Linked DNA regions of Ovis aries. The protein of the gene in region 1 purifies or fractionates together with the protein of each later gene. This does not show direct contact. Links are inferred from orthologs where the notes say so. Each region holds a gene or a part of one and is shown on either strand. Other genes may lie near its edges.

Region 1 (3,816 bases):
GGAGAATCCCAGGGACGGGGCTGCCGTCTCTGGGGTCGCACAGAATCGGACACGACTGAAGCGACTTAGCAGCAGCATATGGCCTCAAAGTAATCAGGAGTACTTTTAACCTTAAATCTCTGTGTAGCCATTTCAGACTGACAGAAGATCCAGGGAAATGTATGCCCTGCCTTTACACACAAGTCTTTTCAAAATAGATGCTTACCGCTTCTGCTTCAGCAGGGTCATACCAGACAGTGATATAAGGGTGACGCAAAGCTTCATCTACAGAGATTCGCTTGTCGGGATCTATCACTAACATTTTTGATAATAAGTCTCTGGCTTGACTTGCTAGGGTAAAAACAAATATTAGATTAATAAAGTAACAATTTTATCCTGAGAATTACACAATAAAGAACTAACTGTGACAGCTCAGACAGAACAAAGATATACTAACTCTGAGAAACTGGTGATAAATTCAGGATTATTAGTCTCTTTCTTTAAGAGTAAATCAAGCAGCCATTTCCTAGAAACCAGGCTTTCCAAGGTGCTTTTGCCCTGAGTCTGGGAGGGGAGAAGGACAGGGCAGAAGGCTGACAAGCCATGGACAGGGAGGGTACTGGAGCTAAGCCGAGGGTGGCACTGCCGAGAGTGCAGGCATGAAGCACGGGCAGGCCTTTTCTCTTGATGCCACATCAAAGTGAAACCGAGCAGACTAAGCCACACAACAACTTCATATGCGCATCGTATACAGCAGCTCACAGATATCTCTGCTTCGCCTGTGCTGTGCGTAGTCTCCCAGTCGTGTTCGACTCTTTGCAACCCCATGGACCCTAGCCCACCAGGCTCCTCTGTCCTTGGGATTTTCAGGCAAGAACACTGGAGTGGGTAGCCATTCCCTTCTCCAGATGATCTTTCTAATCCAGTGATCGAGCCCAGGTATCTTGCACCAGGGAAGCCCTCTGCTTTGCCTACCTGTATACAATGTACACTTAAAAAAAAATCTAGAGATTAGTAGCTAGGAAAAAACTCAACAAATTCAATAACTTGGTTAAATACAAGGCTCACCTAGGTTTTAGCAACTAAAATTCACAGGTGGGACCTCCCTGGTGCTCTAGTTGCTGAGACACTGCACTTCTGGTGCAGGGGGCCACGTTCAACCCCTGGTCAGGGAACTAGACCTCACATGCTCCACTTGAGAGCTTGCACGCGCAACCCAAGACCCCACACGCCACAGCAAAGACCCAGGACAGCCAAATGAATACCAAAACCAAATAAAGTTCACGTGTGCAGGCAAAGGAGAGATGGAACTCTTCTGAATGAGGCACAGTTTGTCTTGATGCAGAGAAAACCAAATCTATTCTTTTCCTTTAAACACATTAAAATGTGATGGGCACAGGATCAGGGGAAAAGGCCTTTAAAAATTTCTGACTCTTCAAATGGGCGACAATCTTTATTCAAGTATTCTTTATACCTGGTAACAGTTTGAATTCCATTTGCTGTAACTAATATAAGAATCTTTCAGACTATGTAAATATTTTGACCAGAGGCTTCAGTTTTGTCCCCTTTATTGAGGACAAAACTTCTAGGTCTTTAGGCTTTCTTTCTGAAATGGCTTCATTCTTGCCTATAAATGACTTTGACGGTTTTCAACTATTTCATCTTTCAGTTTTCACAGAGTTTAGAATGCAAACATAAACAGGGCTTCACCAGATTATGAAAACAAGTATAAGAAAAAAGGATATCTTACTTTTAATTTTGTCTCGTTCAGATTCTGATGGGAATATCCAATCTGGAAAGAGTTCTTCAAATTTGATTCCAGGATACTTTGGTCGGTTTTCTACATAATTCCTCACAGTTGGCTGAAGTTTCTTCATGAAATCTGCAGATGGTGTTCCTAGCTGCTCAATAACTTTATTCCACTGATCAATATCTAAGGAGTTTCTTGAGGAAAATACAACTGAAATGCCTTATATTCATATTATATAAAGTTGCATCATTCAAAGAGACACTTAAATTATACTTATCAATGAATAATTAATCAGGACAGCTCCCTGGGTCAGCAGAAGCATTCTGAAATAATATTCAAATAAGGTTTGGGTTCCTAGTTAAGAGTATTTAAAAAAACAAACAAACAAACTCTGCACCATATAAACTCTGGTCACAGTTTATTAAATCAACACAATGAAGTCTTTATGGCTTCCTACTCTAGATCAAAATGAAGTTATCTTGAAGCTGAAGAATGCCTATGACTGAAAGGCTTAAACATGAAAGTAGGTAATAATTATGTAGGCAAATTGAAATCAGTTCTCACAATAACGGGCTTCCCTGATAGCTCAGTTGGTAAAGAATCCGCCTGCAGTGCAGGAGACCCTGGTTCGATTCCTGGGTCAGGATGATCCGCTGGAGAAGGGATAGGCTACCCACTTCAGTATTCTTGGGCTTCCTGTATGGCTCAGCTGGTAAAGAATCTGCCTGCAATGCGGGAGACCTGGGTTCAATCCCTGGGTTGGGAAGATTCTCTGGAGAAGGGAAAGGCTACCCACTCCAGTATTCTGGCCTGGAGAATTCCAGGGACTATACAGTCCATGGGTTCGCAAAGAGTTGGACACGACTGAGTGACTTTCACGTTCACGCTCACATGCTCATTATTAGTGACTTTCACACCTCCACTTCTCGTAGTAAAGCTATGTTAGATATAAAGCTCCCTGAAATAAGGAGAGCTACCTGACTGCTCAATTTACGGCTGGGAACCACCTTGTAGGCTTGGCAGGATGGGGTGCACGAGAGAGGGGGTGGGAGCCGGGGCTCTGGACTTTCTGAGCCCTCATCATGTTATCTCCCACTGTAGCTGGGCTTACATTGAGCAGCGACAGCTTCGAGAGGTCATTCAGTTTTACTTGGTACTGACTCTGGCTATCATTGCAATATAAATGAGTGTGTTTTATTTCCTTTCAAAGTACATGACCTAGGTTTCAGACTCCATTGTGTATTAGTTACTCACTGGGTGTCAGGAAGTCAATCTCCCTTGGGTCTCATCTTCCTATTTGTAAAATGGAGACAAGGCCAGCTTTGTCTCTTTTTCTGGGAGCTTGAGATAACCGGCAAGATGAATGTGGAAAGTGATTCTAAAACCATAAACATTATATAAGAGAACACAAACCAGAGGAATCAAATAAACAAACAGGATCTTAAAGTTATTAATTGAGGTATGTCTTAGAAAAATAAAATGACATTACTGTGAAAGAACCTAGGGAACTAACATACGTTCTTCAAAGAACAAAGGAGGAGGCCCTCTTGTGCCCTGTGATGCCTTTCTTCCTACTGGTACACCACCACCATTTTGCTCTCCACTGGAGCTTTCCATCACCAATCAAACATAATTTTTTCCCCTCTCATCTTAAAACAACAGTCACTTTCCTGTGAACAGTCGCTTTCCTGTGAACTTCCGTAGCTTAGCTTCTGTTCCCGTTTGCAGCAATACAGAGTCGTTTCTATCTTTAATTCCCGACCTGTCATACTCTCTTAACCATTCTTTTCACCCATCATTTCATGAAAACTGTGCCCATCACAGCTGCAGATGGCTGCCCCTCAGCTCTCAGTCCTCACCTTTGTGACAGTGTCCATGTGCCCCCCTCAGTAATCTGCTTCTGGGCCTCCAGGGCCCTGCTTTCTGAGGGGTACCTGGCAGAAGCTTTCTCTTTCTTATAAGCCATGAGGACTTCTTTTCTACCTTTGCTTATGAACCTAAAACAAATCTCTGACAACTGCAGTCTGGTTTCCAGAATCTTTTTCTATCTAATGTTTGAAAAAAGAGCAAAATTGTCTTTGGAAAAT
Region 2 (3,816 bases), on another chromosome or scaffold:
ACTTCTGCTTGGTTATTTGCTGCTTACTTTCCGTCCTCTTTAAGTTACACAGAAAAGGACGGGGGACTTTCGGGGCCTGGGCTCCTTTGGAGGCCCTGCAAACCAGGGCTGTTGCTGGCCTGTACCCCGGCGCAAGCAGCTGTAGCCAGGGATCCGTGTACGGCAGGATCCACTTGCATTTGTGGGATTTGCTTTTTCTTTTCAGACAGCTTTATTTGACTGGTTACCAGAAGGCTGATTTTCATCTCTGTGCACGGCATAACTTTACCATGTCTATCCTTAGGTGGGTTTGCCGAGTTCTCCCGCTGTTTCCCTGGCCTCTGTGAAGGAAAGTCCACTCTAGTCCCCACCTGCATCTCTCAGCCTTGCTTACCTGTTGCCAACATCGGGCCAACCCGAATTCTGCCCAATCTCTATCTTGGCTGCCAGCGAGATGTCCTCAACAAGGTGGGTGCTTTGAAAATATCCTTCATTGCAGGATTTCTTGACAGCAGCTGGAGAGGCACCGGTGGGCCATCCTTTCAGATACAAATGTTCTCAAAGCAGCTCCCCAGCCAGCAGCCCAGCAGCCTTACCTTCTCCCCCGTGCTGTCGGCTGTGATGTTCTGTTTGCCGTCGGAGACCTAAGCCATTGTCAGGTGTGCTGTTCTTACAGGTCCAAGAGAGCTGCGACAGGACAGGGATTTTCGGAAGTTTCGCCCCATTTTCTTAGATGTTCTGTTACAGTAGCTGGGCGCACTCAGGAAGGCCAGTGCCATCTAGATTATTTCACACTTAGAAACGTGTGCATTCGCTGCATCAACTGGAAAAGAGCTCAGAGTGGCTTGGATTGAGGAAGAGTTCATGATGACTTCCCCCTTCCAGAGGGGCAGGGGAGGGGGTCAAAAGATGGTGAGGACCAGCGCTTAGAGGATGCAGTGTGGATCCCCTGCCTGAGGTTCCTTGACACAGTTTGGTGGAGACAGAAGAGGGAAGAACATGAATCCTGGATGTAAAGGATGTGGGCCGTCCTGAGCCAGGTGCCCCCAACAGAGGAGCCGTGTTGATTGGCCGAGGCCGTTGTATTTACCGGTACACACATAACAGCAGTAAACTAAGGTCTGTCTGTCTCCACAGTCTATATGCTCTTAACCAGTGTTGCTAGAACACAGGCCCCTAATTGCCTGGAAGGTGATCTGTCTCTAAACCTCTTACTTGGTGGTGGTTTAGTCGCTAAGTCGTGTCCGACTCTTGCGACCCTATGGACTGTAGCCCGCCAGGCTCCTCTGTCCATGGGATTTTTCCAGGCAAGAATGCTGGAGTGGGTTGCCATTTCCTTCTCCAGGGGGTCGTCCCAACCCAGGGATTGAACCTCGGTCTCCTAATTGCAAGCAGATTCTTTACCTACTGAGCTACCAGGAGGCCCTAAATGTCTTATTTACACCACCTCTAATTGAAAAAGCATTCAGAGATCTTAATTCAGCTGCTGGTGATTTATAAGCGCTGCTATCTTATGTAGAAAGAAATTTCTCCTTGAGTAGCTGGAAGAATTGGACTGGCTATAAAAATAAACTTCCAGGCGGGCTTGCTTTAGCACGTGGAAAGCAAAAACATCCTATCATTGGGCAGGAAGGACGCATTCTTTTCGCTACTTTTTTTTTTGCTCTTAAAACCCCTGCATCTTCAAAATTTTGCCTGGACATCATTGTTAATACATCTGCTCTTACTATGAGGCATTTGAAATTTGATAACGCATACTTGCACTGAGCCTTCTGGTGGGGTCATGATGTCTTTGAGCATGTGATTCTTATTAGTCCTCTTTGAGAAATAAGCAAAGTATGTCACAGCGTGCATGCTAAGTCGCTTCAGTTGTGTCCTACTCTTTGCAGCCCCATGGTCTGTAGCCAACCAGGCTTCTCTGTCCAGGGATTCTCCAGGCAAGAATACTGGAGTGGGTTGCCTTTTTAGTCAGACTTAGAAGATGAAGTCTTTGAGAACAAACACCACAAAACCACTAATTTTATTAGTTGTCTTATTTATTTATTTTTAACAGAGTGCCATCTAAGTATCTTAAAAGCATGTCATAGTAATTTTCTTAGGAGAATAATAGTGTTTAACATTTAAAATGCTAGGCTCAAAAAAAAAGAAAATAAAGTGCTATACTCTTTGTTACTGCATTTAACCCTCATAATAGGATTTAGAGGCAGGTTGGCCCTGAGTTGTATGACTTGCTTACCCACAGTTTTGTGACTAGAACGTCATTGACTTCAGAGTTAGTCAGTGGCAGAGATCTTTCTCAAACCTAGTCTACTCTGGCTCTGAGTCCTATGTTTACAGAACACCAGAAATCTTTATCTCCTGCAAAATGGAAATCTCCATAACAGGCTGTTTACAAAGGACTGAGATTCTAATGGTCTATAGAATTTAATCAAAATTTGTTTCCCCTGCTTTTTCTACAGCATAGTCTATACCAGAACCATCCCATAGAAGTAGAATGCAAGCCACACGTATAATCCAAAATGTTCCAGTAGCCCTTTTTTTAAGAAGTAAAAAAAAAAAAGTGAAACTAATTTTTAAAATATGTCTGTCTACTTTTTATCTTATGACCGCACCACTTGACATGCAGGATCTCAGTTCCCCCGACCAGGGTTGAGCCCCTGCCCCCTGCATGGGGAGCGCAGTCTTAACCACGCGGCCACTGGGGAAGTCCCGTGAAATCAATTTTAATAACATTTATCACCCGGTATCAAGAGTATTATTTCAACCTGCGATCAATGTAAAACTTACGGGCGCTTTACGTATTTCGTTACTGGGTCTTGGAAAGCTCGTGTGTGTGCTGTGGCCGCTGCTGCTCTTGCTGTGGATGAGCCACACGAGCCAGCTCCCCCCTCAGACCCTGCAGGCGCATGCTGTGAGCGTGTGACCGTTTTCACTTCTGTCTCAGAGACCCGGCTCTTCTGTAGGAGGCCGTAGGCAGGCATCGGTAGTGAAAAGAACACCCTTCCCCTCACACGTGTGCTTTGTTCCGACACTCTCCTCCTCTCTGGTCTTTGTGCTGGAGTTCCAACAGGAATGGCAGTTGTACTAAAGCAGTTTGCAGCTGCCCAGTTCTTATCTGACTGACTGCGCTTGGAATCAGAGTCCTGTAGTTAAAATGTTCAAGACAAAAGTTCCTGATGCTTTCTCCTCCCTTATCAGTTAAAATTCGAAGTGGACTTCTGTTTCACCCTTACACACGGGATGTGTGATGGAGTTACCTACTGCGCGTTGTTCTTGAGCCTGAACCTGTTCAGCTTCTTCACCCAACTCAACTCTACCCCTCTTTCCCCGTTTTAAACAGGCTGCTGCCAGCCTTCTTTGGGCAGCGTCTCTTTTGTTAATATTTATTTGTTTATTTGGCTGCACCAGGCGTTAGTCGCAGCATGCGGGATCTAGTTCCCTGACCAGGGATTGAACCCAGGGCCCCCCACTTGGAGCCTTAGCCGCTGGCCCAGCAGGGGCGTCCCTGGGTAGCGTCTCGTTTCAGTCTCCGGTGTGCGGAGCTGGCTCTCCTGTGCTGCCAGCACCAGGGCTGCTGCCGCTTCCCCTGGTGTTTCCATCTGAGAGTTAGGCAGGAGCCTGGTACCGTGTAGCCAGATACGGCTTTCAGGTTTCTCTGTGATCTAGGAAGACAAAGGGTCATGTCATCAAAGCAGGCAGTAAAAATGTTTATTGTGTCCACTGTGTGTAGAATGCCATATAGAGTGCAGGTTGGATAGACAAGACCTGTTCATGAGTCAGTGATTCATGAGACAGGTGACTTAGGGCTTGAGTGAGGGCTGGCTTTGCACGGGGTGG

The links.
Region 2: the proteins of MAPK9 (region 1) and DUSP16 purify together in Homo sapiens (affinity purification with mass spectrometry; 6 studies listed by BioGRID and IntAct, with this or other methods). This does not show direct contact. The link is inferred for Ovis aries from reciprocal best matches to the Homo sapiens genes MAPK9 and DUSP16.

The regions. Positions count from the first base shown.
Region 1 is NC_056058.1:773,679-777,494, reverse strand, and holds part of MAPK9 (mitogen-activated protein kinase 9), read right to left. Parts: exon of another isoform or gene 2,131-3,816; intron 1,913-2,130; coding exon 1,730-1,912; intron 331-1,729; coding exon 206-330; intron 1-205. UniProt on the Homo sapiens protein: Serine/threonine-protein kinase involved in various processes such as cell proliferation, differentiation, migration, transformation and programmed cell death.
Region 2 is NC_056056.1:202,976,704-202,980,519, forward strand, and holds part of DUSP16 (dual specificity protein phosphatase 16), read left to right. Parts: intron 1-283; coding exon 284-447; intron 448-3,816. UniProt on the Homo sapiens protein: Dual specificity protein phosphatase involved in the inactivation of MAP kinases. Dephosphorylates MAPK10 bound to ARRB2.